Drosophila melanogaster: one gene and its partners. The protein of the gene in region 2 interacts with the protein of the main gene of each other region in a pairwise test. Each region holds a gene or a part of one and is shown on either strand. Other genes may lie near its edges.

Region 1 (9,204 bases), on a different chromosome or scaffold from region 2:
TTAATAAAAACATATACTTAAGAAAAGTTCAGAAAAGTCATTTACACTAGTTTTTCGTACACACAATGGTTGCTAATCCCGACCAACTCCCTGTGAATCGATCATGCGGCGCTATTGAAACCTTTGCCAATCTCCGCTAATCAAAGCTACCCTATATTGCCTCCCACAAGGACAAATCAATTCGTGCAGGCAACAGCGTCCTGGGAAAGAAAAATCCCACCAAATGGCGTTTCCATTGCTATTTTCTGGGCTCCAACTGGCGAGTTATGGCCGCTATTTCCGTTCGGTTTTCACAACTCAACGCGCCGACTTGTTCGCTTTTCCTTTTGCACCTCTAGGTGGTCCAAAGTCCAAGGACTGGGCCAAATCGGTTAGCACAGCTTCCAGCGGATTTCAATTTTATCGCCGCCAATTTACTGCCGCCGTACTGTGTTTTGCGTTTTGCCGCTGTTTTTGTGTTGGGCTGGCCCATTCACATTTTTAGCCTTGGCAAAGAAGGCCGTCGCTGTTGCACATTTTTCTCGCCACATTTTCCTTTGTGCTGCCCTCGGTGATTTACCTTTGGATGATTAGTACTGTGCTATCGAGCTTTACTACCACTGATATGGCAGCGATTTACAACATTCGGCCTATACAAATTTCAGTTCTTCGAGGGGTCTGAAATACAGATATAAAATATTGAGAGTCCTCTAACGAAACATGTTATAAACATATACATTTGCAATAGAGTTAATAGTAATATTTATCTTAAGTAATGCTGATGCCGTAAATAGTAATCATACTACAAATTAAGGGACTTTTCAAGATTTAAGAGTTCTTCCCATATATTTACTTCGATAATGAGGTCTCAAGCATATGCTAAAAATAATACGTTGCAACTACAAAAGCTCTTATATAAAGGAAAAGTTAGTGCTGAAGATGTGTAGAAATGGTGACATCTATTGCTCTCCATGCTTCTGATAAGCGTTTACAGTGGAATCAAAGCTAAAGGAGCAGATTCGCTTTAAAAAGTATTGATTCGTACAAAATATGTCGAAATATTTATGGTAATTAAATAAACAAAGCAAAAGATATGTATATATAATTCGAAAAGCGAGCTATGCTTTACAAATAAATTAACATGCCTAATTGCTGAACGTATTTTTACCTGTGGATGATTGACCCAAAATCTTTACAAAATATTTACAACATTTTAGTATCATAGAAATGAATAAAAAACCGCTTTTTAAAAATATTTATTTTATTTACTAGCTTGGGATGCCCAAATTTGATAATGAACAATTTGGGCCCACTGTAGCTACCAGCCGAGTGCAGCAAATGCATAAATTAAACTGAGTTGAGCTTGAAGTTTGGCCAACTACAAGTGCGTATGCGTATGCGAGTGTGTGTGTGTGTCGGCGCGGGTGTTGGTGTTAGTGTGCGAGCGTGCATGTGGACCATTATCGATACCGAAGGACATTATCGCCATACATGCACCAGCAGACAAAAAGGGGCAAGTTTGGCGGGGGACGAGGGCATGGGCATGGGCATGCATAAAACATGTTTTGGTCGGTTGGCTGCAAATTGAATCAATAATATCCAATCATGGGTTAACAATGCGAATTGATTTCTAGCAGCCATGCAGGAGAACCACCTTCCATTTCAGACTCGGAGCACCATCACCATCGCCACTGGATTTCAGGAGCGGGGAGGAACCAGGAAGAGCGACGACTGCACATATGCAAACATGACAAGATAAGGCCACAACATCAGCTTTCACTGAGCCTTTAGCTTACTTCCTCTGGCGAAGGAGGACCCATGTAAATATTAATTAAGTTTTGGCTTTTGTTGCATTAGGCTTCGGTTTTTGCAGCAAGCCCTGAGGCAGCCAGTTAAAGGGCTCCCAGGTGCCGGCATCTATCATTGTATTAGCTGCAGCATTCGGTGGTTAGTTCGTTAGTTGTCCTTTGTACTGCGTCGTCGTCTTGGCTTAATCAAGTTAGCCGTACATGGCCTTTGTGTGTACCGGACCATTTAATTAGTTCAAAGAGTCGTGTTTGATTTGACACTAATTCGGTGTATACTTCATTCAATGGACAATATTTGCCCAAATGTGAGCTCATCGCATCGAAGTAAGCTGCTTGCAGTCCATTAATTTTCATTTGATCAGAGATCTCGTTTTCAATTGCAGGCTAAAATCGTAATGGTCCCGAAAATTTATCTCAGCTGGGAAATTAAATTTTGTACAATTTGTAAAACTTTTCCAAATGGTGTCGCCAACTGCCGCGAACCGAGCACAGCCAAACTTTTACCATTTCCATTATAAGTTTTACTTGATGCACCCACCGCAAGCCCAACCAACCGCCCACCCACAGAAGGAGCAACCTCAATCCCAGCTTATGCGTTTATTTAATTTCGCTCCAACATTACGCATACGCCCGAGTGTTCACTGAGCTTCTATAATTGCCGCGTAATTGCCGAGAAGAATATCTGTCAGCTACAACGACAACTTTAAACTGTGAGTGTTGCTGCACTGAACCAATCGATGAGGGAAGTTTAACAAAACCTTAAAAATTTCAAAATTACATACGTTTCATAAAAACTCTTCGATAGTATTGGGAGCCCTCAGATTATTCATAAGGTCCGACATTAAAAAATAACACGACCATTTGTTTGTTTTCTATTTACGTAACTCGAATTGATAAAACATATTTATATTTTTCATTTTGACGACTTTTGAAGTACGATCGTGTAATTTAAGACAGTGAAGCAACATGACCATCATTCCAAAACAAAGGACGTGGAAAACGGGCAGCCAGTTGCGCTTTTGTGTTGTGTTACCAAAATGAATTTAGATGTGGAGGATACAAGCAGGATGTGGTGACCCATCATTGGCTTAAATAATCTCTTCGCCAAATATTACCTCATTCACACCGTCGACGAAGATCATGACCAGTCCGAGGATGGGGCGCAGATTCTCCGGCATGTGGGTGTTTTCGCCGCCCAGAACAACCACGCACGGTTTGCCAATGACCAGACCGGGCACCAATCGGGTGACATACCGACTCATGAGATGTTGGTTCTCGCGGCGATCGTCCAACGTCATCAGACCTTCGGGCCAGCGATCCTCGTGGCAACGTTCAACCAGCATATTGAGCATATGCATCGGACAGCCGCTTTCACGCAAAACGTCGCGCACCATCAGGTGCATGGGATTGTCCGGCGTGGAGATCAGACTGCCCCACGTATGGATGTTGGCCAGAGGGAGTCCATGGCCCCACTGCATCAGTGAGAAGCGGTCCAGTTGTTCGCCAATGTTGCGCAGCATGGGATTGGTCGATCGCAGTGCTGCGATATAGTACTGGAACAGCTCCATCTCTCGGCGCTGGCTGGAGCTCTGCTCCTCCATATCGGATTGCTTCTGCTTCAGATCGGAAACCTCCTTCGCCAGTTTCTCCACCAGCTCGCGCAGTTCGAACACACAGTTGTGGCGCGACATCTCGTCCTTGGGTACCTTTAGCGGGAATATTATAGCTATCTTAAGCAGTTCAAGTTATTCCCAGAATGTTCACCTTCATTCCGCACCCCTTGCTGCACTCGACAACCACCTTGGGATTATGCTCGCAGGCGGCGACATGGGTCCGGAACTCCTCGAGGGCCAGCATTTGGGCACAACCGCTTTGCGAGAAGGTGCACTTGATCTTTAGGCGGGATAGCATGTTGCGCATTAGGCGCGAAACGGGCACCAGATGTGAGGTCAGTAGCCCGGAGCGGTCCACCGGGCAAATCTGTTTCTGGATCATCCACTTGTCGATGCAGGCGCGACAGAAGGCGTGCTCGCATTCCGATGACTGGACCGGCTCCTCCAGGACATCTGTGCAAATTGGACAGATGAGCTCCTCGTCAACGTGGCCCACAATGCAGTTTAGATCAAAGCCCATGACGAAATGGTTTGATTTCTATACCGAAGTTTATGTCGCTGGAGAATCTGAGATGTTATTTTTTTTTGGCATGGAGCCACTCTCATCCACTTACCACTGAGTTCGATATGTACTTATACCTATATCCGAAACTCGATTTTTACAATATTTCGATCAAAAAGTTAGTTTTTACGTCGGCGCTGAGTTGTGTCCGAGCTGGCATCTGATTAAAAGCCAACTATGTGTATAGTTATGCATAGTTATATAAATAGTATATATAGTTTATTTTTGTAAATAAAAATCCTTTTCTTAAGCTAAGAAATACTAGGCCTTTCGATCATCTGTTATGCAAACAGCTCTCATTGAGCCTTCTACCATTTAGGACACTTCAATTTCAATTCAAGCGCAACTGAAACCAGCCAAACAACCAACAGAACACTGGGAGTCATCCATCCAAGTGGGCCAAGAGCAAGTGGGGTGGGGGCGAATGGGTCTGAGAAAACGTTTTCTTGAGGCACTTGCATATAGTGCGGTCGTAAAACCCTTTGCATATTTATAGTCCCAACTGCTGCGGAAGTTATGCAAATTGGAAAACTTATGGTACGACAACCCGGAATAATGCCAAACGTCCAGCCAACCTTCGGCGACCACGTTTTAACTTAGCCTGCACAGAGAAGCGATGCGAAGCGAAGCGAGGAGTTGAATTTTATTTATAAAGTGAAATTTTAACAAATTAACAGCAAATGCTGGGACATGGGCAAACAAATAAACTTTCCATCTTCAGCTCCACAATGGCCGAATTTCGAACAAACACTCATCAGACGACACACAGGCATGATTGTGACAACATATTGCCATGTCAAAATATTTACACTATATCAACTGCTCTATGCAAACTCGAATGTATATACATACGTGTGTATAATAGAATGGGCATTGTGTGACTGGAAATTCGGTTTTTAATTTCACTTGGAAGCGTCATTCGCTTGGATATTAAATTTCATGTTTTGCCTAAGAATGACATTTGCTTTTGTGTGCCTTTTTGTGCATTTTGTTTGTGACAACTTTACTGCATCGAATCCTTTTCGTTGGATTGCAATTTCAGTCTAGTGCTACCAAATGCTTATCTCCGAATGCAACTGTCAGTCTGACATTTTAGTTTACTTTAAATTCCTGCTCAAGCCTTTTCAGTTTGCCATAATATTCAAGACTCATTCTTTCATTTCGTTTTTATCTTGAAAAACAGTAATCGAAATGCTTGAATTGATGAGTTGAATAAATCACAATTGATATGCGATTCCCCACTCCGGCTGGTGTGAAATATTCTTTAATAAATCGCATTTTGTGCAAAATAATTAAGTCCGTGTGGGGTGTGGTGTTCGTTTTATCAATCCATTGGCTTTGCGACGTTCAATAGCAATATTTCACATTTCTGAGCTGATGGAGCGCATTAGAAAATAATCAACAATTTTCATTTGACTTGGCTCCGATAAAACCCATCATCCAGCAAACACAAAACGAACCACTCAAGCAGGAAAATTTAATAAGTTTGTACGTAAGCATATACACAGCTCGCCACAAAAATGTTTTTCCAACTGATCTGACCGCATTTGTGAAAATCAGCATTGATGATTCGAAGGCTCCTAGAGGATGCACACACTCTGATGAAAGATTTGGATAATAGCTTATGATGTTTTATATATTATAGAAGTGCCTTTTTTTTTGTTAATAAAATATATATGTACATTTGAGTGCTGTTTTTTTTAAGTGCAAGAAGATCATGTTTGGTTTTTCCGAGTGTATTTATGTACGAAACCCAACTAATAAGGTTAGCAACGTGTAAACAGTCATTACGTGAGTGGCTCTGTGTTAGCATGTAACGAGCCACAAATGCTTGCCACACAATGTTTATTTGCATTTATATTTGCTGTTCTTGCGCCGTTGTCATTTCATTGCAACATCAGTACGTGCCTCATTGTCCCCAAGTCCTTAGCATCCTGATGCCACATTCCCTCTACTCTGCAGATAGATAATCATTAATGACGGACTCGAAGTAGCATTCTGCTCACATGTTTCCCGCTTCGCCTTAAGTTCCAAAATTGTTGATTGGCAGTGTAATTATGTTCTAAACATATTTACCTTATTCTTGAAGTATAATTTATTGGATGAGTTAGGTTATATGAATTGTAAGTAGGTAAATCAATTATACTAATCACTAAAGATGGGGCGTTGAGAAGAGGTGAAGCTGCAAAGCGGCTTAAATATACGTTATCCACTGAAGAATTTTGATAAATTTTCACCTCTACACTAGCAGTCATGTTAACCCTGACTCCCTGACTTCTTGCCCTGGACATTAGGATCCATTTCTGGAGCAACAAGCAAATTGCCATCCGTGTTTCGACCGCCGAAAGATACAAAAAATTACCATGAATTACCGTAATTCAGCTCGTGGTGCCCCAAAGCCATGTCCATTACATGGAAATGGGACATGTCACAGGACATCGTCGCCGGCAGGACAACCCAAGTGCGTTGCTTCAAATCTCCTGGTCCTTCTATGGTCAAGCGGTCACGTTCGCATCGTATGACCGGAACGTGCAATTTTTCCTGCTGGACGAAGGAGGTGGCGGATTTTCCGGGGGAGGAGGAAGCGCAATAAGCACAAGTTTTATGCAATAAAATTAGCCCACACTCAGCACGCGCAGGACACGCAGGATGCTTCAGTGGCTGATAAGATAATTTTATTTGGATGTTATTGCATAAAGTCATGTGAGGAGCGGAAATGAGTGGAACTAAAGTAAAGCGACTACGTGCACCGGAATTCCGGATGAGATGGGGTAGAAACTTGGCTGGGCAAATTAATAACGTAGTTTGAAAATGGTTGGGTGAAAGCAAAGGGAAAAGTGAATAAATAAGTTTCTTTTTAATTTAACTAAACAGAGTTTTGTACGGCATGTGTTGAAATTTATTGTAATAGTTATAGTAATGCAGAAATGTAGATAAATATCTAAATATAATCTATATCTCCCCCACTGGACTTTCGTTTCTTTCGCACTCTTACCTAAATCTCATTGCCATCATCATTATTCCAGGCCCAAGGAATTAGGGCACAAATTAGGCAAAAAAGCCGAAAACATCGTGGACTTGGCTCTGACTTCATTGCTCGCTCAAGCGTTACTAAATCGCTTATACAAGCCTGCCAATGGCAATGGCCTTTTCACTTGTGAAGAACTTCATAGAGCCCAACTTATAAACATTATATTTACAATTAAATGTAAATTAAAGAGCTAGAATAAAGGACATTGCTTATTACTAAAGAAGTCCTTTAAGGCTTGCTTGCTACCTTAATAGCATTAATGCCTTCTCGGTCTTGACATTTTTAATATAATTATTCACATATTCGTTTGGAAATATACTTTTAAATCATTTAAAAAATGTATGTAAATTTTTGAACTGTTAATAATATAAAAATATAATAATTAGGCCATTAAAATATCCTATGAAAATATTTATAAATAATTTTACAATGATTTTATACACAAAAGAGCATCTAAGCCACAATCATAATGCTTCAAAATGTTGGCTGCGAACGTTTTGCCGGAATTTAACAACTGACCGCACACACAAAAATATTTTTTTGCCACACCCGAGGCGACAACAAAAATGCGGAACGATGGAGCCCGTGGAGCACCAACCACAACATGGGGCACGTTGGCGGAGAGAGGAAACGATGGCGAAGGCGAGGTAAAGGCCTCGAGTGCCGCAAGAGCACTTAATACTAATTAGCTTTGCGCCTACGCCGTGACCTACGACCTGGGCGCTGGAACGGCATTTCCGGAAACGGAAACGAGTCTGGGGAGCAGATAGAGGGCATTGGCAATCTGTGGCGCGCTTAAGTGGCCGCCGCACGCAGGAACACGGTAATATTTGGAGGCTTTTGGGGCGTGGAGGCGGGTTAACAGCTTGAGGGCGTCATTTTTATGAGCTAATTAAGTTGTTAGACTTGATGAAAAACTCATTTCGTCGCAGGTCCATATCTAATTTGCATTAATTACGACCTGGCGACAACAAAATGCAAGAAATGCGAACCAAATTATTGGGGTTATTTTTACGGCACAAATCAAACCAGTTTTAGCCAGGAAACATTCCTACTTGAAAACTAACCATATAATTGGCTGGCAATTTGCGTTTATTGGCAAGTGCAGAAATAAATAATGACAATTGAAACGAGCAACTTTCTGACCGGATTCCTACTTCGGACTTTTGCGTGCAACACTTGCAACAATTCGAGTCACTTTTGCCCGCACTGCGAAGCTCAAATTTGCACATAGTTTATAATTTTCTTAACAACTTTGCTGCATTCAGCCAATTGAAATGAGAGTACACAACTTTTTAATGGCCAACGGCTCGAGGAACTTGGCCAACACACTTTCCAGTTGGCCTGGCCAAAAAACTTTTCGAATTATTGGCGAATGGCTAAGCGCTTTCTGTGGGTGAACTGTCCTGGAATGTCTGCGACATTATTTCGCAGCCCTTTTCAGTCAAGGTCACTGCAATCAGACTTCCGAATTAATCGGAAAAGTTTTCGGCTCAACCAAAAAACTTGAAGCCCAATAAATATTAAGTGGTCAAAGTCTTAAAAGTTTCATGAAACACGAAATATACAACAAAACATTCTATGCAGCTAAGTGCAATCATGTTGTTTTAAGCCTTTATTTATATTTTAACTACCACATTTAAAATGTCCATGAAATCAGTGGTATTTATTATTTTCGAAACCAGTGCCACAATCCATTTAATGGACTTCTAAACCTCAATGGCCCACTCTATTAAAACACAGCCATTCCAAATCAAGCCCGATTTTTCCATGCCAAAATTGAAGCCCAAAAAAACCGAAATCAGGCCAAATTAAGTGCTCCCTGGGGTCCAATCAGCTGGAGCTCTCCAACTGTTGGACATTTTGATGTATAGTCATCAAAATTGCGGCCTGTCGCCCAAAAGCACAGCAAGTCATCACAATAAATGCCAATTTATTTTCGCTCTTTTTGAGTTTCTTTTTTTATACAACACAAGCAAAAAAGGACTCGGCATCGGCAGGCAAATCGAACAATGATTAATCATTGCTTCGAAGGACATAATTATTTCGTCAGTTTGCTAATAAAATCGTTGACGGAAAAGAAACTCGCCCGCGGCCATAATGATTATGTAATGAATATGTTGGTCTCGAAAACTTTTGCAAAAGTTCTCTGCGGCGGAGGAGGGTAGCAAAAGTGTTACCTTATTGGACGCTGGTGTCGCCTTCGTGATA
Region 2 (9,760 bases):
ACACGAACTAAAGAAGTAATTCTTGATACAACAAAATAAGTACAAGAAGTTAAGCCAACCAGCGTAGAACGACTGCTTCGTAGGGCATGAGAATGATTCTCTGTGACAGATCTGCTTTTTGCCTGTAAATCGTTTTAAGTTAGTTAAAAGTATAGAAATCAAGAAAGTAGAGAAAACCTACCCCGAATAGTGTGTGGAGTAGGCAGTGGCCAGCACATACTCGTAGGTTTTGGGGGCGAGCCCATCGAGGATTTCCATACCGTTGCCCATGTTGACCAGGATTCGATACTCCTCGCTGATCTTGTTTGTGCTGTAGGATATCAGGATATTAGGATCAGCAAGAGGATTAGAAGAGGATTTGCTTCACGTACCGAATGATCTGTAGAACCTGTTCCGTCACCGCCTCGTAGGAGAAACCTCCATCCTCTTTGAACGCAAGAAAGGCGGAACTGCTCTTAAGTTCTTGAAGACCCTTAAAGATGTTCAGGGAAGATCTGGAAACACCGCGTTCAGTCTGCACATTGTACCGTTGATATTCGGGACTTAGAGGCAGCCAGGTGGACTCCCCATCAGAGAAGTCGGCATTCTTTCCAGCCGTCCACTGCATGGGCGTGCGCTCCCCATCGCGATCCTCGCAAGAGTCGCCGGTGCACTCCACGTCCACGTTGGACATGCCAATTTCCTCGCCGTAGTAGGTTACCGAAGCACCTGGCAGGGCGTTTACAATCACATTTAGTAGATCCACTTTGTGAGCTCCCATACGATCGGCCACTCGGTTGGTATCGTGATTACCAACAACCCAATTGGCCGTCTGGTGCTCCTTCCACATGGTATTCATCCAGTAGTCGATAGATCCCACAACATCCTTGGCGGTGGAGTATCCACTGAGATACATCAACTGGAAGTTCATGGGCAGCTGGGTACCCTGATGGGTGCTGTTTCCGAAGTAAGCACTTAGTGTCTCCACGGAAGAATAGGCCTCGGCCAGGAGAACCCGTGAATCGCCTCCATTCTGCGCCCGATAGTTGTCCAAAAACTCACGCCATTCGTACATGAGATCCACCGTGGCCGGCTGGTCCTTGGTGTAGATGTGATCATGGTAGTCGTAGGCGTTGGGGTCACTGCCCCAACCGCTAACCGGTTCATCCGGATAGGATCCGTCTGCATTGCGGTGCTCGTAGATGTGTGGAACTGCATCGATACGAAATCCATCAACTCCGCGGTCCAGCCAAAACTTCAAGACATCCAGCATGTGCTCCCTGACCATTGGATTGGTAAAGTTTAGATCCGGCTGCTTCACCTGAAACTGGTGCAGGAAGTACTGCTGGCGCTTCTCGTTCCACGTCCACATGGGTCCGCTGAACACACTGACCCAATTAGATGGAGGATCTCTTGCACCAGTTTCCTCATTCAGTTTTCCATCGTCCCACACGTAGAAGTCGTCGTAGCCATCTTCGCGATTCACGGACTTTTCAAACCACACGTTCTCGTCACTCGAGTGGTTGGGTACAAAGTCGAGAATGATCTTAACGCCCAGCGACTTGGCCTCCACTATAAGGTCATCGAAATCCTCGAGAGTGCCGAAAATCGGATCGATGTCATAAAAGTTAGAGATGTCGTAGCCGAAATCCGACATGGGCGAGGTAAAAATGGGCGACAGCCAGGTGGCCGTGATGCCTATTTCCTTGAGGTAGCCCAATCTCGAAGTAATGCCTTTCAGGTCCCCGATGCCATCGCCATCGCTGTCCTGGAAGGAGCGCGGATATATCTGGTACAGCGAGGCGTTCTCCCACCAATCGATATCTGCAGTACCCTCCTGGGTGGTGGAAATTAGAAGGAGAGCTGCTAGCCCGAGATGTGCCCACTTTGGCATTTCGATAGCGTTTGAGTGGGCCAAACTCAATTTGCTAATACCAATTGCCATGTAGCGATTGAGCAGTCGATAAGGCACAATTGCACCGGCCAACTGGTAATCTATCAGTTTTATCGCATATTTGCTAGATTAAATAACAGTGGACTGGTCTTTCCCGCTCTCGAATGCTCTCTTTTTTGTTGGGCATTCCATTAGACCGCGAAATGTCGTAAAAGTGCAATAAAGTACGTTTGTTAAAGTTATAAATTGATGACTGGCCTGAGAATCACAAGCTGCATCAATATCTTTTAGTATTTATATTCGTAGGGTAACGGGTTTAATTACAAATATAATATAGAATTTATAGAATATAATATATTTTACAATTTATAAAAATTACTACAAACATATTTCAGTGTATTTGAGCAAGACAGATAATAAATGGGCAATAATGCGTGCACGGCCAAAATACTTTTGATATACCATATGCTTTTTTCTCGACAACAAAAAATGTTTAGATTTATAATACTAATTAGGTCACCATTTAGGCTTTACCTTTACAATTCCACCTCAATATGCTCCAGAGTTCACAAAAGATGAAATCATAAATTGCATGTAGAATTCTTGATACCACTCTAGCCACAATTCAAAGGATGTTTTTGTATTTTTCATGATAAGCTTTTTGAGGTACGGGTACTATCTAAACCATCTGTGGTTTCATACAATCAATATAGCTAACAAATACATGTATATTTTGAGTTACCTTTTAAGGTAGTTTACTACACTAACGCAACCTGATGAAGGATGCATTTATTGTAATTGACAGACAGGCGGACGGACAATCTTAAGTGGACTTTACAAGTTACTGTACTGTACAAGTTACTGCGAGTAAAATATGACATTTTTATAGAGTTAGATAAACGCAGGAAATATTTTCCTCGAAAACGCTTATCATATGAATGTCGACCTACGCTGATACTGACAACAGTTTAGGCCGTATTGCAACGATGATTATGTATTGTCACGCGATTAAAATGCCCCCAAAACTTCCACAAGGTTATCTTTTAAACATTTCCACAGCATTGTTAAGTGTTAATTAATCATGGTTTTCCAGCTTGTTGCTTGTTTGCTTGTAGTTGAAGGAGTAGGATTTGTCTGCGCTATTATCAGGTGACTAATGTCCACTTGAAAGGCCTACCATAACAAAAACAAGGAGGAACAGAAAAGACAGGTGCTGCGCTATATGTTACCCATTACTCAAATTGCAAACAGAAAACCTTCGGTCTCAGAGTGGAACCCAGCAGCAGAATGTAAAATTTAATTCACTTCATATTTAGTTTAAATGTATAGCGTGTGGCAATCTTTTGGAACTATCTCTAGATGTGTTTGCTTTTCTAGAAGCAAAAGCCGTATTCTCAACTGTTTGGCTCTCTTATTTCCCATAATTCCGATATTATACCTTATTTTCGCCGAACCTGTATACCTGCTTACACTTACCGGTAACGGGTATACAAATAATTCCGGATGATATTTGTCGCAAAAATCGGTATTTTTCCAGCAATCAGAAGACATTCGGGAGTGGGCTAATCGCTTTACGTAAAGCTTCGCTGGGAGTACGAAAACAATGACAGTTTCGGTTCGACTCGAGCACCCTGAGAACTCATGGGAGCTGTTTGCACAGCAATTCAAATGGCCACTCAAAATGGCCAGATCTCGATTGGAGCCACCTTATCGACTAGTATAAAAGGCACTGTCAGCTCTCCAGCCCGAACAAAATCGATCAAAATGCGCCCGCAATCAGCTGCGTGTCTATTACTGGCCATCGTTGGCTTCGTGGGAGCCACCGAGTGGTGGGAGAGTGGAAACTACTACCAGATCTACCCGCGCTCCTTCCGGGATTCCGACGGAGACGGCATTGGCGACCTGAACGGGGTCACTGAAAAGCTGCAGTACCTGAAAGACATCGGCTTCACGGGCACATGGCTGTCGCCCATATTCAAGTCGCCCATGGTCGACTTTGGTTACGACATATCGGACTTCTACCAGATCCATCCCGAATATGGAACCATGGAGGACTTTGAGCGAATGATCGCCAAGGCCAAGGAGGTGGGCATTAAAATCATCCTGGACTTCGTACCAAACCACTCAAGTACCGAAAACGAATGGTTCACCAAGTCTGTGGACAGTGACCCCGTCTACAAAGACTTCTACATCTGGCACGATGGCAAGATCAACAACGAGACCGGTGAGCGGGAGCCGCCGAGCAACTGGAACTCTGAGTTTCGCTACAGCGCCTGGGAGTGGAACGAGGTGCGTCAGCAGTACTACCTCCACCAGTTCGCCATCCAGCAGGCCGACCTCAACTATCGCAATCCGGCCGTGGTTAACGAGATGAAGAACGTTATTCGCTTCTGGCTGGGAAAGGGAGTATCCGGATTCCGTATAGATGCAGTTCCCTACTTGTTTGAGGTGGATCTCGATCGCTACAACCAGTATCCGGACGAGCCTCTGACCAACGACTCCGTGAACTGTCCCGACCCCGATGACCACTGCTACACGCAGCACATCTATACACAGGACATGCCGGAAACAATTGACATGGTGTACCAGTGGCGTGAGTTGGTGGATGAGTTTCATGTGGAGAACGGCGGAGATAAGAGGCTGCTGATGACGGAGGCGTACACCAGCTTTGAAAACATCATGACTTACTATGGAAATGGAGTCAGGAATGGCTCCCACATTCCCTTCAACTTTGACTTCCTTACGAGCATCAACAACGCCTCTAAGGCCGGAGAGTACGTAGAACATATTAAGAAGTGGATGGACGCCATGCCCGAGGGCGTTTATGCCAATTGGGTGCTGGGCAACCACGACAACAAGCGAGTAGCCTCCCGATTTGGTGTCCAGCGCACCGACCTTATCAACATCCTGCTGCAGACTCTGCCCGGCCACGCGGTCACCTACAATGGAGAGGAGCTGGGCATGACCGACGTCTGGATCAGCTGGGAGGACACCGTTGATCCGAATGCGTGCAACTCCGATCCCGACAACTACTACGCCCGATCCAGGGATCCTGCCCGATCTCCCTACCAGTGGGATGCCTCCTCCAAAGCAGGTATGAACTTATCTATATTTACTCTGCTTAGTATGAACAATCTACACTGAACTAAAACATTTGGTTAAGTGCGTTACAAAGACTCCGAAATCTCACCTCACTGAAGGGCCATCTGACATTCTATTGGAATACAAATGCTAACATTTTTAAAAGACATGACGAATGATAGCCGTTTGAATATAATAGCTAATCAAATACATTTTATATATTGACGTTGCAGTGTGATAAGAAGCTTTATATGTTCTGATAAGAAAAACATTTGTGATACTTCTATTGTACTAATCTAAGTTTTACTTATGTAGCACTGACATTGCGGTTCTTATTGATATTCCATTTATATATACCACTTTCAGGCTTCACCAGTGCCGATCACACCTGGTTACCAGTGGCTGATGACTACAAAACCAACAACGCCCTGCAGCAGCTGCGAGCTCCACGTTCCCACCTGCAGATCTTCAAGAAACTGGTGCGCGTGCGCAAGGAGCCATCTTTTCGCCAGGGAGAACTCAACATTCAGGCAATCGACGACGATGTGATCATCTATTCACGGCAAGTCTATCAATCTTTAAGATCTTTAAGCTTCGATTACTAAACGTTTGTCTCTCGAATAGACAAAAGACCGGAAGCGATCTCTATGTAATCGTTCTCAACCTGGGTAGCACCTCCAAGACCTTGGACCTGACCAAGTATTACGAACTGGGCACCCAGGCGGAGGTCATTACCACGTCCTTGAGCTCCCAGTACATCGATGGCGATGTTATCAAATCTACGGAGTTCGTTGCCAATCCCTATGTGGGCACCGTCCTAGTGGCTGTCTAAGCTAATTTTATTCAAATAAGTGACAATAAAGTAGCGCTGATAAATAAAATGTGAATTATACATGTACTTATCAAAGTTTGCAAAGTCGTAGCCCATAAGCATGCAAGTGTTTATTCATGTACTATCGCATACAAGCCTCTGCTTCATGCGTAGATGTAGACCATTTTCGGACTTCAGAGTCATGGATGCCGACAAAATTGGATCATACTTATGGTTGTGAGCATCACGGCTCTTCTTCTCTGCCGGCTGAAGACCTAGAGTTGTGCTTATATAGCCATCCTTGGAAACGAGCTCATCCAGAGCTGGCAGCACCTCGAAATTTCGAATGATTTTGGACACCACAGTCTTGATCTCCAGCAGTGCAAACTTCTGACCAATGCAATTTCGGGGACCAGCACTAAAGGGCACGTACTCAAACGGCCCTGGTTTCTCACGGTCGAAGCGTTCGGGCTGGAATTTGTGAGGATCCTTAAAAACACGGTCATTGTATCCCAACATAAGAAGGCCCAAGTTCAAGGTAGTCCCCTTCGGCACAATGTCACCATCTAAAAACATAATCCTGATTACTGATAACGCCTAAATTTGTTTCGAAGATTCACCAATTACGTAGTCCTTCTCAGTAAAGCGACCAATGAAAGGGACACTCGGATAAAGACGTTGCGCCTCCTTTATAAACAAATCCAAATGTTTCATTGTGGATATCTCCTGAAACGTGGCATCTCGACCAAGTCCAGAAGCGCCCATCACATCGCACTGCTCGTTAAATAATTTTTCCTGCAAACAGAAAGTAATATATTATTAAATTCGCTTCGTCAAAACTAGTTCTTCAAATCGGTTACCTGTTCATCTGGATGTCGAGAAAGTAAGTAGACTGCAAAACCTACACCAGATGTAGTAGTGTCATGCCCTTCAAACATAAAGGTGGAAACTTCCTCGTAAAGCTCTTGGGAAGTCAGAGGACGTCCATCCACTTTGGATGACAGCAGAGTGTCCAAAAATGCCATTTTCTTGCGGGAGAACTCGTCAGCCTTAATGCCGACTTCAAGCCCTGATTTTCGGACTTCGATTCTCTTCGCTATTATCTCATTGGTAAAGTCCTGCAGGGTTTTCAGTGTTTTACTATATTCTGGATATTCAGGAGCAAAGTGAAAGAGGTATTTGTTGCGCTTCCACGGACTGAAAGCTCTCATCTTAATGGTGTAGGTAATACTACAAGTGAAAAAAAATTTATGTAAATCTTTAGGAAGATTTGTATATATTATGGAATATCCCATAATACATACTCTTTAAAGGCTTGCACAACGGAGGAACTTCGGTTTTCCATGGCATTGATGGACACACCCATAGCTGTATCGCAAATGACGTCCAGAGTCAAATAATGTGCCTCTTCCTGGAAATCGAAGATGTTGCCTCCGTCTGCCACCTTCTTCAGCTGATCTATGAACTTGGTGGAGTTCTCGTTCATGACCTCGTGAAAGTCCTGCAGGATGTTGAAGTGGAAGGCTGGGGTTATCATCTTCCGGTGTTTGTGCCATTTGCTGCCAGTACTGGTGAGGAGGCCCAATCCCAGCCATGGGTGAGTAAGATCATATACATCGGACTTGGATATCAGAGTTTGACTGCTAAGTATAAACTGCGCAAAAGCTGCATTGTTACCATCCTCGCCTTAGCGTTATTAACATGTCACACTCACCTCCATGTATTTGGGATTAGTGACCATAATATTGGAGTAGTAACCTATCCAATAACGAAAGTTATCCTTGCCGTACTCATGCCACCAGCCAAAAAACCGGTTCAAAATCTCTGGAGAGCAAAGTTAAAACATATCATTACTTGCTCTACAATTAGATAGAAGCCATAGTCTTTAATACAGCAAAAAACGACGGATGAATTCCCTGACGAAGATTTGTTAAGTTAATCCCATTGATCGGTACTGCAGTGACCTTTAGTATATTTAGTCTCAGTGTTATCATTCGTACACAACTGTTATGTGATCAGTCACACCTATCGAGCGATGTTATCTAGAGGGGACTTTGATCCCACACATTGAGATTGTCTAGATGGAGCACCTACCTGTGGGAGTGTTTCCCATCTGATGAGCATTGCCCACCAAAGGCAGCATACTTGGGCCTTGGAATTTGTTCAGCATTCGCTTTCGCCGCAGTAGTCCAAGCTCGAAATAGGTCACCAAGAACAGTGGAAGGGCAAGAAAAGCGCACAGTACGATCCACATTTTGAATGCGACCACAGACAACCGATCGGTGCAGCGAGTAAATCGGATTTGAGTAGAAACCTCAAGACTCTCTGCGTCAGTACTTCAACCGGTTGCGGCAGACAGTTCTCAGTCTCTCGCGCTTGGATATACATCCACACATAAGAAGCAGCCTATGACTATCTCCCAAATTTTAAACTAATATATGGGCACTCAGCATGACCTTCTATATGCTGCGACTAAGTTTCTTGATGAACATTTCTCTTGAAAATGGCTTACACGTGTGGAAACTATAATTTCAAATTTTTTAAGCTAATTAACATAGTCTCAATGGTTCAAAGATTAAAACGAGTTGATTTGTTTCAAAAGTTTTATGTGTTGTATGAGACAAAGTGATTAACAGCTTCCTAATAATTGTATCTGTGGGGACGGCATACCTAAAAAAACACAGGTATGCAAAATTAAAGCACCAAACTTAACAGAGATCAATAAATTGACATTTTAGTGCCTTTCCTTCAGCCGAATGTATAGACCATTTTCGGATTTCAGGGTCAGCACAGCGGAAAGAATAGGGTCGTATTTGTGACGGTATGGATCGCGCTTCTTCCTCTCGGCATCAGGGAGTCCAATAGTGGTGCTTATATAGCCATCCTTAGAGACGAGCTCATCCAGAGCAGGAAGCACCTCGAAGTTCCTAATGATCTTGGATACCACAGTCTTAATCTCCAGCAGGGCGAACTTCTGACCAATGCAGTTTCGGGGTCCAGCGCTGAAGGGTACATACTCAAAAGGTCCTGGTTTCTCCAGCTCAAAGCGCTCAGGTCGGAACTTGTGGGGATCTTTGAACACCTTTTCGTTATAACCCAGCATCACGAGACCCAGGTTCAGTGTGGTGCCCTTGGGTACGAGATCCCCATCTATAAGCAAGTATGGTACTGTTATGTAAAGCTCTTTAAATTGCTTTAATTAATGGTTACCTATAACATAGTCTTTCTCCGTAAATCGTCCAATGAAAGGCACGCTGGGATAAACACGCTGGGCCTCCTTGATAAAGAGATCCAAGTACTTCATTTGGGATATTTCCTGGAAGGTGGCATCGCGACCCAGTTCGGAATTACCCATTACTTCGCGTTGCTCCTTAAATAGTTTGCGCTATAATAGCAAGGGAAGTTAGTCATTTAAAGATTTGGCGTCTCAAGCAATGTACTGAACCTGTTCATCTTGATGTCTAGAAAGCAAATAGACAGCGAACGACACTCCAGAAGTGGTAGTATCATGTCCTTCAAACATAAATGTGGAGACCTCTTCGTACAGTTCCTTGGAGTTCAGGGGACGACCATCAATAGTGGAGGACAGCAGAGTGTCTAAAAAGGCCATTTTCTTGCGAGTGAACTCATCTCCCGCGTTGGTCGAAACTGCACCCGATTTGTGGGCTTCAATGCGCTTAGCGATGATCTCGTTGGTAAAGTCCTGCAGTGTTTTTAGAGTCCTGCTATAGGCCGGGTAGTCCGGAGCCAAACGATACAGCAGTTCATTGCGCTTCAGCGGGTGGAAGGCTCTCATGTTGATGTTGTAGCACATGCTGAAAAGGATCAAGAGTCATGCAATCTGATAGTTCGACTACGAGGTACGAAACTAACTCTTTGAAGGCCTGCACAATGGAAGAGCTGCGGTTTTCCATGGCATTGATGGACACACCCATCGCTGTGTCGCAAATGACATCCAGGGTCAAATAGTGGGCCTGTTCTTGGAAGTCGAATAT
Region 3 (12,634 bases), on a different chromosome or scaffold from region 2:
ACTAGAGCAGGCCCATCGCCTGTCAGTCATCATCGTGGGAGGAGCAGTGGATCCTAGCTATATATACACACCCAGTACTTGACCACTTGACCTTTCTATTTTCAGGCAAAGGTGATAATTAACAAAAATGCTTTAATAGGTTCAAAGTTCGAAGAACATGATCCTAGAACGTACTTTATACCCCATTTGGTGGCATATTCTTCAAAGCATTAAACACTCGTAAGATATTATAATATTTGACTTTAAATTGGATCTTCAGTACCTGGAGCCACTGTACTTTGTAGGCTAGGTCGCATTTTGATTAGACATAAGTGCGCGCTTATCAGTTTCACCTTGGCCTTGATACCCGATTGTGGGCTGTTGTGGAACTGACCCACAATGAGCACAATGGCTGTCATTGAACTTGCCTCACGCTGATGCCTCCGTCTCTCCACTTTCAGAACCGAAACCATTCCCGGCCATCCGTCGTACAAGGCGACCATGCGGCTCACGATTACCAACGTTCAGAGCAGCGATTATGGCAACTACAAGTGCGTCGCCAAAAATCCTCGGGGCGACATGGACGGCAACATAAAGCTGTACAGTAAGTGACTAGGCTATATGTGTTATTTATACCCTTTGATATTGCGCCACTGTCATAGGCAAATGTATATGTACACCCCTTTTTAAATGGGCGCCAGTATTTTGGGGGGTCTTTAAACTTGAAACTCCGACAGTTCCTTGATTCCAAAGGAAGCAGATTGTACTGTTCATTTTATCAGGATTTTTGGTGCCCAAATACTTTTTAATATACAGCAAGATTAGATTTTGATATTTAATAAGGAAATGACGCGTTTAATTTGTCTCACCGACGTTTTTCTTCATATCCTTGCCGCCGTCAACGGGGCGTATGCGCAATCCTCACAACCGGCAATTAGAGCCACTGTAGTGTCAATAAAGTGTCAATATTGTGTCAATTTGCTAAATTACTCCCCAGTCACTGTTTGGGCCATTAAAGCTCAGCTCGGCAGCAGCGATTCCGATTACAAAAGTTCATAAAACAAAATAAAATGCCCGCTTGTTGGTGGTGAGGTTGTGAGGTGGTGACAAGAGCCCAACGCCACCAAGAATGGCGAATGTGAAAAGACAACTTAATTTATATATACACGGTTTTCATTCTGCTGCCACAACAATGGCCTGTGTAGCCCATCGAAAAGTGGGCGTCATTCTACCAATTAAAGGTAACAATGGCCGCATCGATAATAGAAGGGGCAGCTCCGACAATGAGAACAATGAACCTGTGACAATTTTATTGAGTGGTCAGGAGGCGATACAGTCGCAGAAAGGCGACATCAACCAGGCATTGGAGTGGGCTATAGTTTCGTGATTCCCAGCCGAGGCAAGGCCAAGTGTCAAGCCCAATAAATTTCCTCTACAAATTGTCTTCAATAATGCCAACGGAGGGCAGCCAGCCGAGAAAAGGAACCGAGAGTTGTTAATCCTCCCCGGGGAGATGGCCAAGAAATTGAAAAGAATCGGGGGGGAAGGGCGGGCAAAAGGGATTGCACTGAATTTACGATGGCTGATAAGTGAAGACAATGCGGCTGGGTAACCGAAAATATCTGTTTAGAAATCGAGCAAAGGAGTTTCGGCACTGATGGGGCGCACATTTTTGGGGCAGGACTGGCTTATAACTCACAGTTAATTTAAGTTGTTTATGGATTGTTTCCGATTGAGCAATCCACTTTTGTTCGGTACCGTTTTTTGGCGCAGACATCACGCTCTTACCCCTTATTTTAATTACTACACTGACAGAAAGTAGATAAAATAATGCAAAAAAAATGTATAAAAGAAAAAGGATTCATTTCTGACATGTAGCGTTACACTTCCTTTAAAGTTCCACTTTGCGATAGCTTCTATTTATTGAATTATTTCTACCACTCATGTACGCCAATATTTCTCTACGTGTAGTGTCGAGTCCGCCGACAACACAACCGCCGCCCACAACCACAACGCTGCGGCGGACGACAACAACCGCGGCGGAAATCGCACTGGACGGCTACATCAACACGCCCCTGAATGGCAATGGCATTGGCATTGTGGGCGAAGGACCCACAAATTCGGTGATTGCGTCCGGCAAATGTGAGTAGTGCCCAAAAAATGCATAGGATGTTGATGTTGGCAGAACAAATGAACACGTTGCACTTTTCATTATCAATTGCAGCGAGCATTAAATACCTATCGAATCTGAACGAGATCGACAAGTCGAAGCAGAAGCTGACGGGCAGCAGTCCCAAGGGATTCGATTGGTCCAAGGGCAAGAGCAGCGGGAGTCATGGCAACCTAATGGCGTCCAGTTGGCCCCTCATCTGCTGCATCCTCGCACTGCTGACGACACACTCGTGTGGTTGAGAACTATGTGCGATTCCATTTTAATAAAGTGCCATTACAAACAGTCGAAATGAAAGGTGTTCGAAGCCGATGCATACGATTAGCCATAACAACTGTGTAATTAATTAAGCGAATTGCAATTTGCAAACGTTAACGAAGTCAAGCTTTGGTTTTCCCCGAAACTCCCTATGCAGCCCATTAATATTTGATTACGTTTGGTGGCGAAAACCACAGCGTGTTTTTAGGCAAACAAAGTTACCAAATTAATCAACCTCGCATATTTGTTTACCATTCGTTCGGAAGCACTCTAAAATATTTTCTAAAAATTCGTTTGGTTTTAAAACCACTATACCATCGGTGAGGGTATGCGAAGAATGTTGTAAAAAGCATTTCGGCAGGGCCAAAGCAAACATGCGATGCAAACCAAAGCACATAAATCCTGGTTAGTTAGATATAAAATCAATTAATTTGCATAAATACAAGTGGGAAAAAATAGTATACCCTTCGAATGATGCCAAATTGTTAAAAAGAGAGCACTACTCACTCACCTCCAACTGTAAATAAGCGCGTATATGCATGGATAAAACCCCAAATGCAATTGTAAATTATGTACTCGTTATAGGCACTAGAAATGAATGTTCATTTGTACGAGAGTAGGCATCAAACCATTTCAAAACTAGATATTTAACGGGAAAGCGAAAGGCTTAAATACTCTGAAAAACAGGCACCTAAAATGCATTAATCAAAAACCATTAACCTAAATAAGTAACTAAGCAAATATGAATTACGAATATTCACGATTGAAGCGAAAACTGTTGATACATAATTTAGTTAGCTGATCAGTTAAGACGGGTTTACAGTTGAGAAATAATCCAAATAAAGCCAAATCCAAATATGTAAGTTCTAAACTACTCATACAGAAATACATATATATATATATATTTAAATACCTACATATATCATAGGCCTTAGTTTGTGTTTCTTAACGATAAGAGTGATAATGTATATTTATTAACTTGCTCCCCGAGCGGAACAAACTGGCACTGCGAAAGAAACAAATAAAATATCTATGTATTTGGGATTGCTTCTTAAAACTTAAGCGACTTTTATTTCAGTAATCTGTGGTTCTTGATATTGACCAGTGGTACTTGTGCAAAAATATAACTATTATTTTTTATTTGAAAGTCAAAAGAATGTCGACGGGACTTTTATTTTATGTTGAACAAGTAACCATTTATTGCATTAATAGTTAGTACTTTTCTCTGATACCATGTTTGCGCAGCACTTTTGCACGTGAAATTGTTATTGAACCGAACCCAGCAACTCCTTTTGGCCCCAAACGGATTCCCTTGGCCACTGGATGTGCACTAACATGGTATCCTTGGCCAGGAATGTCTGAAGTTGATGCAACAGGAGCATTTGCTTGATGAGAGCAAGAAAAAGAAACCATGTGCTTGCAGGAAACGTGATGCTTGCCAGACTCCTACGTGTCTGCAGGATAGCAAGGAGCTATGCCCTCCAGAACCCCTGATTTTGTTGGACTCTGCATGCCCAAGGAAATACACTGAATGGCTTTAACTTTTCTCTTTAAAGTTTATTATCTAAAATCTTTGTAACATTATATGTTAATGTCTAGGAACTAATTGTTTATAAAATCTTAAAATAAAGTCAGATCCCGATGAGGTAGCACCATCGCTCAGACCTCCACGGCCCTCCGGTCCATCAGGGTGTCGAGAATCTTGTCCATGTGCTCGCTGCAGTTGGCCAGGCACACATCCGCATACTCGCTGAGGAAGTACATGAAGCTCTCGAGCTGCTCCATCGAGCAGCCGCGGAAGCCATCGTCGCGTCCAATGTTGTCAATGGCCCGGATGATGGAGCGCAGCTTGTGGACATATTGCGGCGTGTTGCGGCAGTGCTCCAGCGAAGAGTCGGCCAGATTCGCGGGCTTGGCGTAGCCACGAATGCGCTGCTCCACACTGCGAAGTTTGGACTGCTGCTGCTTGAGGGTCTGCATCATTTGCGGCACGGACATGGCGGGTGTGGCGGCAGAGGGAGGAGCCTTGGCAAACAGCTCGTCCAGGGGAACCGCCTCGTAGTCCAGGGAGAAGAGATCAGGCGAAAAGGACAGCCTACCACTGTTGTTGCCGAAGCTATCGGACTCGAACTCCGTCTGATCCAGGTCGCTGGTCTTGATCGCCTGGTTGGCACTGATGCTGCTGTTGGGCCAGGAGTACTTGCTGCGACCCTCCAGGCCATTGCTGGCACCTGTCTGCAGACCCACCAGTATGCTGTAGCTGCTCTCGATGGAATACTTCTGGGTGGTGGGCCAGAACTCAGGCACGCTGCTGAACTCAATGTGGTCAACGCCGAAGCGCAACTCCGACTGCTCTCCGCTGAGGAAGGCAAACAGCCGCTCGATCTTCTCGCTGGACATCAGTTTTCCGCTGAAGGGCACTGCGAGATCTCCGCTGGCGAACCAATAGTGAGAGCAGCCCTTCACACTGGGTGGACGCTCGGGCAGCGACTGTCGGACGGAGTCGGAACTGGGAGCTCCGCGAATGAACTTGTGTCCGTCGATTCCGAAGGCCAGGTCACGAGTCTCCCAGCTTTTCTGGGTGAAGATTTCGTACAGCAGTCGCAGGCGCTCCGGGCTGTTCTTGAAGATTTCCAGGGAGACTGTGAAGTCCCCAGAGGTGATCCAGAACATTGAGTGCGCCTTGCCGGTCGGACTCTCATCCTGGGAGTTATCAATTTCAACAGTCGGGGCATTGGCGAAGAACTCCCGCTCACTGCACGGTGTGGAGGGTGAGCTGGAGGTGGCGTCCAGATCGAGCGGATGATCCTCCCGGATCACTTGCATGGCCAGGGAACTGCGACGAGGGCGCTCCTGGATGAGAATCGGACTGAACAGTTGTTGTTGCGCCGGACTGGAAGCATGGCGTCCCTTAACTGGCGTGGAAAAACCGGATGGCTTCGATTCCGTGGCTCCAAGCGAAGATCGGCGTATCGGACTGTTGTCCATCGGATCGTTCGAGCATGTCTCAAAGCCCTGATCCACGAAACTGTCCCGCATGGCCTGTACCAGGGATTGCCTTGGTGTCTGACTAGGAGACTGATCGCTGTCTGCATTCGGCGAGGGAGATGACATCACGGTGAGGGTGTATGCCGACTTGATCTTCCGGGGCGAGTTCAAGTGGCGCATCAGTGACTTATCCAACTCAATGAAACTTGGCTCGGGCATTGGAAGTGGGTTACAGATAGCACCGGACTTCTTCTTGGCCGCTCCTGATAGCGGAGGCTTGTAATCTGAATCGGAGTCCGTTGAGGTTATTGCAGTGGCCTCGACAATGGAGTTCTCCTTTTTCCATGTAAGAGTTCGGCGCATTTTCTTCTTGCGTGGCGGACGCTGGGGCTTGGCAAAATCAAATTCACCTGTCTGCAAGTCATCCTTGGGCGTCTCTGGCTGGGATTCGTCGCTGGTTATCTGTGATAGAAAATTAAGAACAATGAGTCAACATTCATGAATCCACTTATTAAAGATATCACTTACCTTGGGGAGTGTAGACAACCCGGATTCACTTTCCTCAGCCTCGGATTGCTTGCAGCTGGATGCACTGGAGGTAACTTGACTTAGACTGGGTCGTGGGGCTGGCACTGGCGGCGCCTGGCGCTTAATGCGTCGCGGAGTGACTTGAACGATGGGATCCTGAGCTGTATCCATCTCCTTCTTTTCCTCGACTTGTGTCTCCTTCTTGGACTCGTTATCTAGCTCTAATTTTGCGATGGCCTCCTCCAGAAGCCGCTCGACGGCGGACTTTTGGCTCACATCCTCCAGAGTAGCGGTGCTCGGCTCAAGTAGCGGTTGCTCCAGAAGATTACCCTCCTCGGTGGCTATCTCAATGGTCTGCTGACCGTCAGACACACTCGTAATGTCGAACTGGACACCGTTCTCCGAGCTGAGCCAGCTGTAGAACAGGGTTTCGAGGTGTTCGTTCTGAAAAAACATTTGGCTATCCGCACCGGTGCGCTCCTGTCGAGTGCGTCGGATTTTCTTTGGTGGCGCATAGGCCTCCGTTGGCATCATGGTGCGAATCGCGGCGAGGTTTCGCTTCTGGGATGGCTCTCGGGCATGTTCATCGCTCTGACGATCCAGGCATCGGCGGGGTCGTGGCTGTGGAGCTCTGCGCTCTGGACTTGGCTTGAGGATCACAGTCAGGGTGCTCACATGCAGCTGGGAGGTGCATGTCTCCGTTTTGCTCTCAGTCGTCTTGGGGGGAGAGACACCACCTGGTCGCGGTGGCGATCCCGGCTCCAGGATACATTTCGCTTCCAACTCCTGGGCGAGATGCTTAACACTGGCTTGTCGTTCAGCCACCACCTCCCCTCGTGCCACCTGTTTGTTTACCTTCTCCTTGAGATCTGCGGCATGTGCAGTGAACTTGGGGTGCTTGGCTGCCATGTCACCGATGAACTTGTTGAACAGCAGGGCTTTGTCCTTCACGCTCAACTCGCGGAAAACTTCCTCGGCCACCAGGCAGGGTCCTTGAACTGGGGACTCTAATGGCGACACCAGGCGGTTCTGTGCCTTAACCTCCGGCGACATCTCATTTTGCAGCTGAACATACTGTGGTTCCTCTGTACGTCGCATCACCTGGCTGATCTTGGAGTTAAACAGCTGGGCCATCTCCTTGACCTTCATGGGCAGCGACGCGGATACCTTTCTGGAAGCCTGATATGCAGAGCGTGGCGTCTCCATCTCCGGCAGCTGTTCGTATTTCTGCTTGAGCTCGCTGATCTTTAGGTGGCCACTACCCACTTTTGGCTTGGGCGGCGTGACCGGATCCGACTGGAGGGCCAACTTGGCAATTGTGCTGGCCACTTTACCCGTGTTACCCGCTGCCTTGGTGGTACCCAGTGTCTTTGTTGGCGTCACAGGTACCTCTTCGTCGAAGTACTTCATCAGATTCTCGATGCTGGACAAGTCCAGGTCGGTAACCTGCACTCGGCGCGGTGATGCAAACGAGTTTTGGTACTCCAGGGCGGTCAGGAAGCGATCATCATCCAGCGAGGAAATCTCGAAGAGTTCCTCCCTGGTCATCGTAGCTCGGAGCAGGCCACAGGCGGTGCTGGCATCTCCGTGGCGGCTGGAGCGACGACGTTCCTCGATCTCCGCGTTCAGCTGCAGTAGCTCGCTGAGATCATCACTGTTCATGGCTGCCGTGTCCACTACCATCTGGTTGTGCTTGGACTGGTTGTTCGGCGTGGAATTGCTTAGGACCATTTTGGTATTAGTTTGCTGTCTTGTTGTTGACGTTAGACGTTTCAGTTTGTAACTGTGGCTTTCTGGCATTTTGCTAATAGCTTATATACAATGATCAGGTAAAATATGGATTGGGTGCAGATTTTATTGCCCACCCACTGCCTCAGATTTTCCTTAATCCAACTAGCAGCGATCAGGTAAGATTAACAGCCGCAGCTGTCGGATCGATGGATTTTCCTCGCGCTAACCGATATTTAATTATTTTCGCGAACCTTTCCGCTATAAATATATATCCAGGTGACCTGAAACAAAGAAAACAGGTAGGTAATATTAGGGCTGTGCAATAGATGTAAAATGTAAGGTTCTGGAAAGAAGGGATAACCGAGGATTCACTCGAAAGACAGCTGACGGAAAGTCCTTAAAATTTAAATTCCAATTATTGCAGTAACTCAGCGAAATCAACTCCCAGCATCATCATTATACTGCAACCGAACGAATTTTCCGAGAAAAATGCGAATGTTAACAAGACCCAGGCGAATTGCAGCCACAATAAAAATCACACACTGAAAATTCTTCATCTGACTATTGCTGAAATTTGGAGCGAAAACGAACCGAATTCAGGACCCCAGGGATAAGCAGAACTTTGCTTGCAGTTTGCCACAAAGTGACTTTCACACCGACAGAGCCATAAAATGAAATCAGGGGCTGAGATTTGCGGATGCTCAGGTGGCAGAGCTGGAGCTGATGAGTTACAGAGCTACAATGATAAGTTCCATAATGGGATACATCTTTTAACTGCCTGATATTTAACGATTTTATCTTTAATTTTTGGTTTTAATGCGCTTTTTTACTTTTAGCAAAACGGAGTGCCTATTTTTTTATCACAAAGCTGAAGTTGTTTACATGGGAAGGGTATACTTTCCAAATATTCCAAATTTTCAAGACAAAAGCGTTCTCTAACCCTTTTTTGGGCTTTCTAAAACAGGCCGGCTATTTATATAAATTAGTTAACTTACTTTGTTAAGGATTTCCTTGTTGAACTATGATCTACTTTAGGCAACACAGTATTTAACACGCACAACTTCATAAACAAATTACAAATTAATTTTGTAAACAAAAGACCGCGAAAAAGCGTGGTTATTTGCGCCAAATAACATAGTACATTTACATCGATCTAAGGGCTCATTTGCCGGCTTTACGGAATATCACAGCTGATAATAAAGCCAATCACCACGAATTAAGAATCAGCTGATTGAATCAGCATCAAAGCTCAGTGCTTTTTAAACCGTAAACTAATCTAGACTTTAAATATCATCATGGGCTCAAGAAAATGATTAGAATGTCAATAACTTATATTCTAGGCAGACCAGTGAAGATATGAGAATTCGATGGCTATTAACGGCCAAAACGGCTTACAACTCAATGATACGATAAATTCAAACGGATTGCTCCCGTGGCCTGAATTCTATCAGACGTGCCTTTATTGGTATCTGAATATATTGCTATTTAAGCCAAAAGAGGCACACCAAAATCATTCAGATGGACAGTAGTTGGTCAGTTGGCAAATACCCCAAATGACAAACAAAGCAATCCCCGAAATACCATTCGACGGTGAAAAACATTTACAAACATTGTGGTCGCCAACAGCAGCGGCAAAAATTTAGTGGGTGCTTTATGATAAACTCATGTGGCTGGCGTTCCATATCCAACTGGAATGGACGGGGACGCAGTGGTTCCACTTGCTAAGTAGCCACCGCTTCTGTCGGCGACACCGGAACGCGAATATTTGGTTTCAGATTTTGGGCACTCAATGCAGGGCCATGCAATTTTGAAAATCTGAGCGGCGGCATGTACCCCGCTTTATCAGTGCGGGTTAATTAGACACTACCAGTTCTGTAATGTTGGCAATTATTTCATTGCCGCAAAATCCGTTTACTCGCATAACATGCCCACAATCGGTCTGAATGACGATGCGCGACTTGTAATTTCATCAGCCCTATCAGTCCGTCCGTCCGTCTGTCAGTCTGTCTGTCTGTCTGTCTTCCAGTGCGCCACCTTCGCTGGCAAATCAATCAATTCCGCACAGACCCACATACATACATACATACTTACTCCGCCGAGCGAGCGCACGTGACATGGAACCCCGAGTGGCGGGCAAGACCGCCGGAATCCGGGGGTCAAGGAACGAACCTCAGCCGAGCCGAGTGGAGCACCGCCGTGGCGATCAGAAGCAGCGAGTTTGTTGCTGGCTTCCGACTAACACCACACCATTCGCAATTCGCTGCTCCGATTGCGTCACTCGGCTTTCCGCGTTCCGCTGGCCAAGCGGTTTATTTTAAAACTAATTATAAGCCAGCCCAAATATAATGCACAGCCGCTTTGAATTACATGAATGAATGAAATTCAGCACTGATAAGCCGTTCGACGGAAAGAGGAACTGCTGGCCATATCGCAATAGCCCACACTCAGCATAATGTAGCCGCGTTGGATGAGCTCTGGAATTCAGACTGCTAAAGATGTGTTTATCCTTTACATTTTGCTGACTCACAAGAAACTAGAAAATAATCTGAAACATACCAAATTGGAACCGCAGAATATTGATTTAGATGACTGAGCCCCACACCCCATTTCACATGAGTAGCTCGAGTGTCTCGAGGCATACGTTCTTTATCGCAGAATCAATTCAAGTTTCCCGTTTCTAGTCCATTTGTGGGGCAAAGACAAACGTACGGTCGCCCATTCATCGGAAACAACCACGATTTGGGGCTGACCGCTGTTTGACACGCGGCTCACGCGCTATCATCCCGGCAGGTTGTTAATGGCCCATTAATGCGGTTGCCAGGCGAAACCGACCGCTTGCCACGCGCCTTCAAGACCCACGCGGCGTATGAGCGATTTGCGCGACGACCTTCAACAAGTTGCACAGTGCAACCACCGACTTGGGGCCGGGATTTGGAATCTAAGTCGGATTCTGGATGGTCGTCGCCCTCTGGGCTGCCGTCTGCTCCGCGCAGGATGGGTGTTAATTAGCAAATAAATAAAAGCACGCCGGGTAACACATACGCACCGTGGGCAAGCAAGGAAAAGCACACGTGAGCTCTTCGGCAGAGGAAATCGGCAAAAGTTCAAGGTGCACAAACAGAGTCGAAACATTTTGTACTTTTAAAAAGGTTCTCGCTCACACTGTTAAATATTTCGACTGAAGGAAGCATCCCATTTTCTTTATTTCCTCTGCGTAGGTGTGAGTACCTACCCCCCTATTTTTTCAGTGCCTGACAGCGAACATCCTGGAAGGGCATCTACTGCTCACCGATGTCTTGTCTATCACGTTGCACACGTAATTGAAAATTAACTCAGTCCGTGTCGGAAAATCCGCCCGACAGATGCGAACCGCATACGCAATTGCTAAGCATAGAAGTTTATTCACAATACTTGGGTTCCTAATTAAAGCTATACACCGACTAGCAGTGGGAGTCACCGACCGTCTCTGGGCATCCCTCACCAGAAGGGACACTGGTCCGCGCTGGTCATTCCGGAGCCAACATGGCACCGGAACACCTCTGCGAACTGCGGCACCTGGCCGAGGGCGTAGTTCAGCCGCTGGCTGCCGGAGTCATGGTACTGGTCGCCCTCGTCGCCGCAGAAGAAGTGGGCGAACTGGAGGAAGTACAGACGCCCGTTGCCCGACCGAGTGAGCCAGTCGCCACCGTAGGTTTGCATGGCCAGCCGGGATCCGCTGACGTCGGAGGTGCGCTCGTTTAGCATAACAGCGCTGCTGTTCAGGCATCCAACCGCTCCGTTGTAGAGCTCCACTTCGCCCAACTGGTCGCTAAAGTTACGCAGATTACCCTGCGCATCGTAGTCCACCAGATCGGTGTCGAAGGCGTGCATGATCTCGTGGCCCAGGGTGTTGGCCAGATCACCGTAGAGCAGCGCTGGCCAGAAGTTGGCATCGAAGAAGGGACGCTTTACGTAGGAGTACGGCACGAAGATGATGTTGCCCAGGCAGTAGAAGTACGGCGTGGCATCGATGTTGTCGGGAAACTCGGGCGTATGCATATTGAAGCTGTACCAGATGTCCCGCTCCTCCTGGTCCGAGCTGCTTTCCAAATCGGCGACGAGCGTGTAGTAGTAGAGCAGGCTGTTCAGGTGATTCTCGTAGAAGTCCCTGCCCACGCTCCACCGCCGGTCGCTGTCCCAATAGAATTGCTCCGTCACATTGGGCGGTAGGTTGCCCACATTGATGCGCATCTGGTGCACCTTTGCCTGCAGCGATTTCACCAGATCCTGACTTAGATTGAAGGCGTTGTGCTGGACCCGCAGCTCCAGCTGACTCTGCAGCTGCTGGAAGACGCTGTGGATGACCAGCTCATCCGCGTGGCGGCGCCGGGAGTAGAAACTTCTCTCGTAGACGTAGTTCATCGGCAGGTAAACAGAGCGGCGCATGTGACGAATACAGTTCCTTCCCCGCGACCGCTGTCCGGACTCCCAAGTGGCCAGCGGGTTATGTGGCAGCTCAAGCAGGTGGCTGAGAAATCTTGCCAGGCTGTACCGATTGAGCAGCAGAGTATCTACCGTATTGAGGTACTCCACAAGCCCCTCGATCGCGTCCAAGTCGTCCACCTGGAAGACATGATTCCCCGGCACCGATCTGCCCAGCTGTGTCCTCAGCGCCTCGTCCCAATGCAGACCCGGCACCTCCGTCCGAATCTGATCCAGACTGTAATTCCGGAAGGTATCGTCCGCCGAATGGGGCTTAGCCAGTCGCACCAAGTTCTGCTCCAAACTTCTGAACTGCTCCTGTAGCTGGTGGAGCGGTGGCCAGGAGGAGCCATCCTGACTCAGCGCATCATAGATGTCTTGCGTGAGACTCAGGTTTAGGTGGCGATTGTGCGGCAGCAGGAAGATCATGTGATGGGTGGCGTTGTACCAACGTACCTCTACTTGGACGTAGTGACCGTGGTAGCCGTAGCGCCCCAGAGCTGCCAGCAGGTGCATCCA

Evidence for each region.
Region 1: the proteins of Mal-A1 (region 2) and CG9014 interact in a two-hybrid assay, tested with the Drosophila melanogaster proteins (one large-scale study listed by BioGRID).
Region 3: the proteins of Mal-A1 (region 2) and slam interact in a two-hybrid assay, tested with the Drosophila melanogaster proteins (one large-scale study listed by BioGRID).

Annotation. Positions count from the first base shown.
Region 1 is NT_033779.5:13,719,518-13,728,721, forward strand, and holds CG9014 (uncharacterized protein), read right to left. Parts: upstream 4,126-9,204; 5' UTR 4,015-4,125; intron 3,968-4,014; exon of another isoform or gene 3,959-3,967; 5' UTR 3,921-3,958; coding exon 3,552-3,920; intron 3,494-3,551; coding exon 2,876-3,493; 3' UTR 2,644-2,875; downstream 1-2,643.
Region 2 is NT_033778.4:8,445,762-8,455,521, reverse strand, and holds Mal-A1 (maltase A1), read left to right. Parts: upstream 1-3,617; 5' UTR 3,618-3,637; coding exon 3,638-4,967; intron 4,968-5,320; coding exon 5,321-5,516; intron 5,517-5,578; coding exon 5,579-5,786; 3' UTR 5,787-5,858; downstream 5,859-9,760. Other genes in the region: Mal-A2 (maltase A2), read right to left, coding at 50-122, 182-310, 372-1,873; Cyp4e1 (cytochrome P450 4e1), read right to left, coding at 5,901-6,331, 6,386-6,560, 6,626-6,995, 7,070-7,419, 7,480-7,589, 7,860-8,019; Cyp4e2 (cytochrome P450 4e2), read right to left, coding at 8,500-8,915, 8,976-9,150, 9,211-9,580, 9,639-9,760.
Region 3 is NT_033779.5:6,368,597-6,381,230, reverse strand, and holds slam (slow as molasses), read right to left. Parts: upstream 8,844-12,634; 5' UTR 8,650-8,843; intron 7,936-8,649; 5' UTR 7,655-7,935; coding exon 5,924-7,654; intron 5,858-5,923; coding exon 4,067-5,857; 3' UTR 3,947-4,066; downstream 1-3,946. Other genes in the region: DIP-epsilon (Dpr-interacting protein epsilon), read left to right, coding at 441-583, 1,951-2,121, 2,204-2,391; Nepl4 (Neprilysin-like 4), read right to left, coding at 11,132-12,634.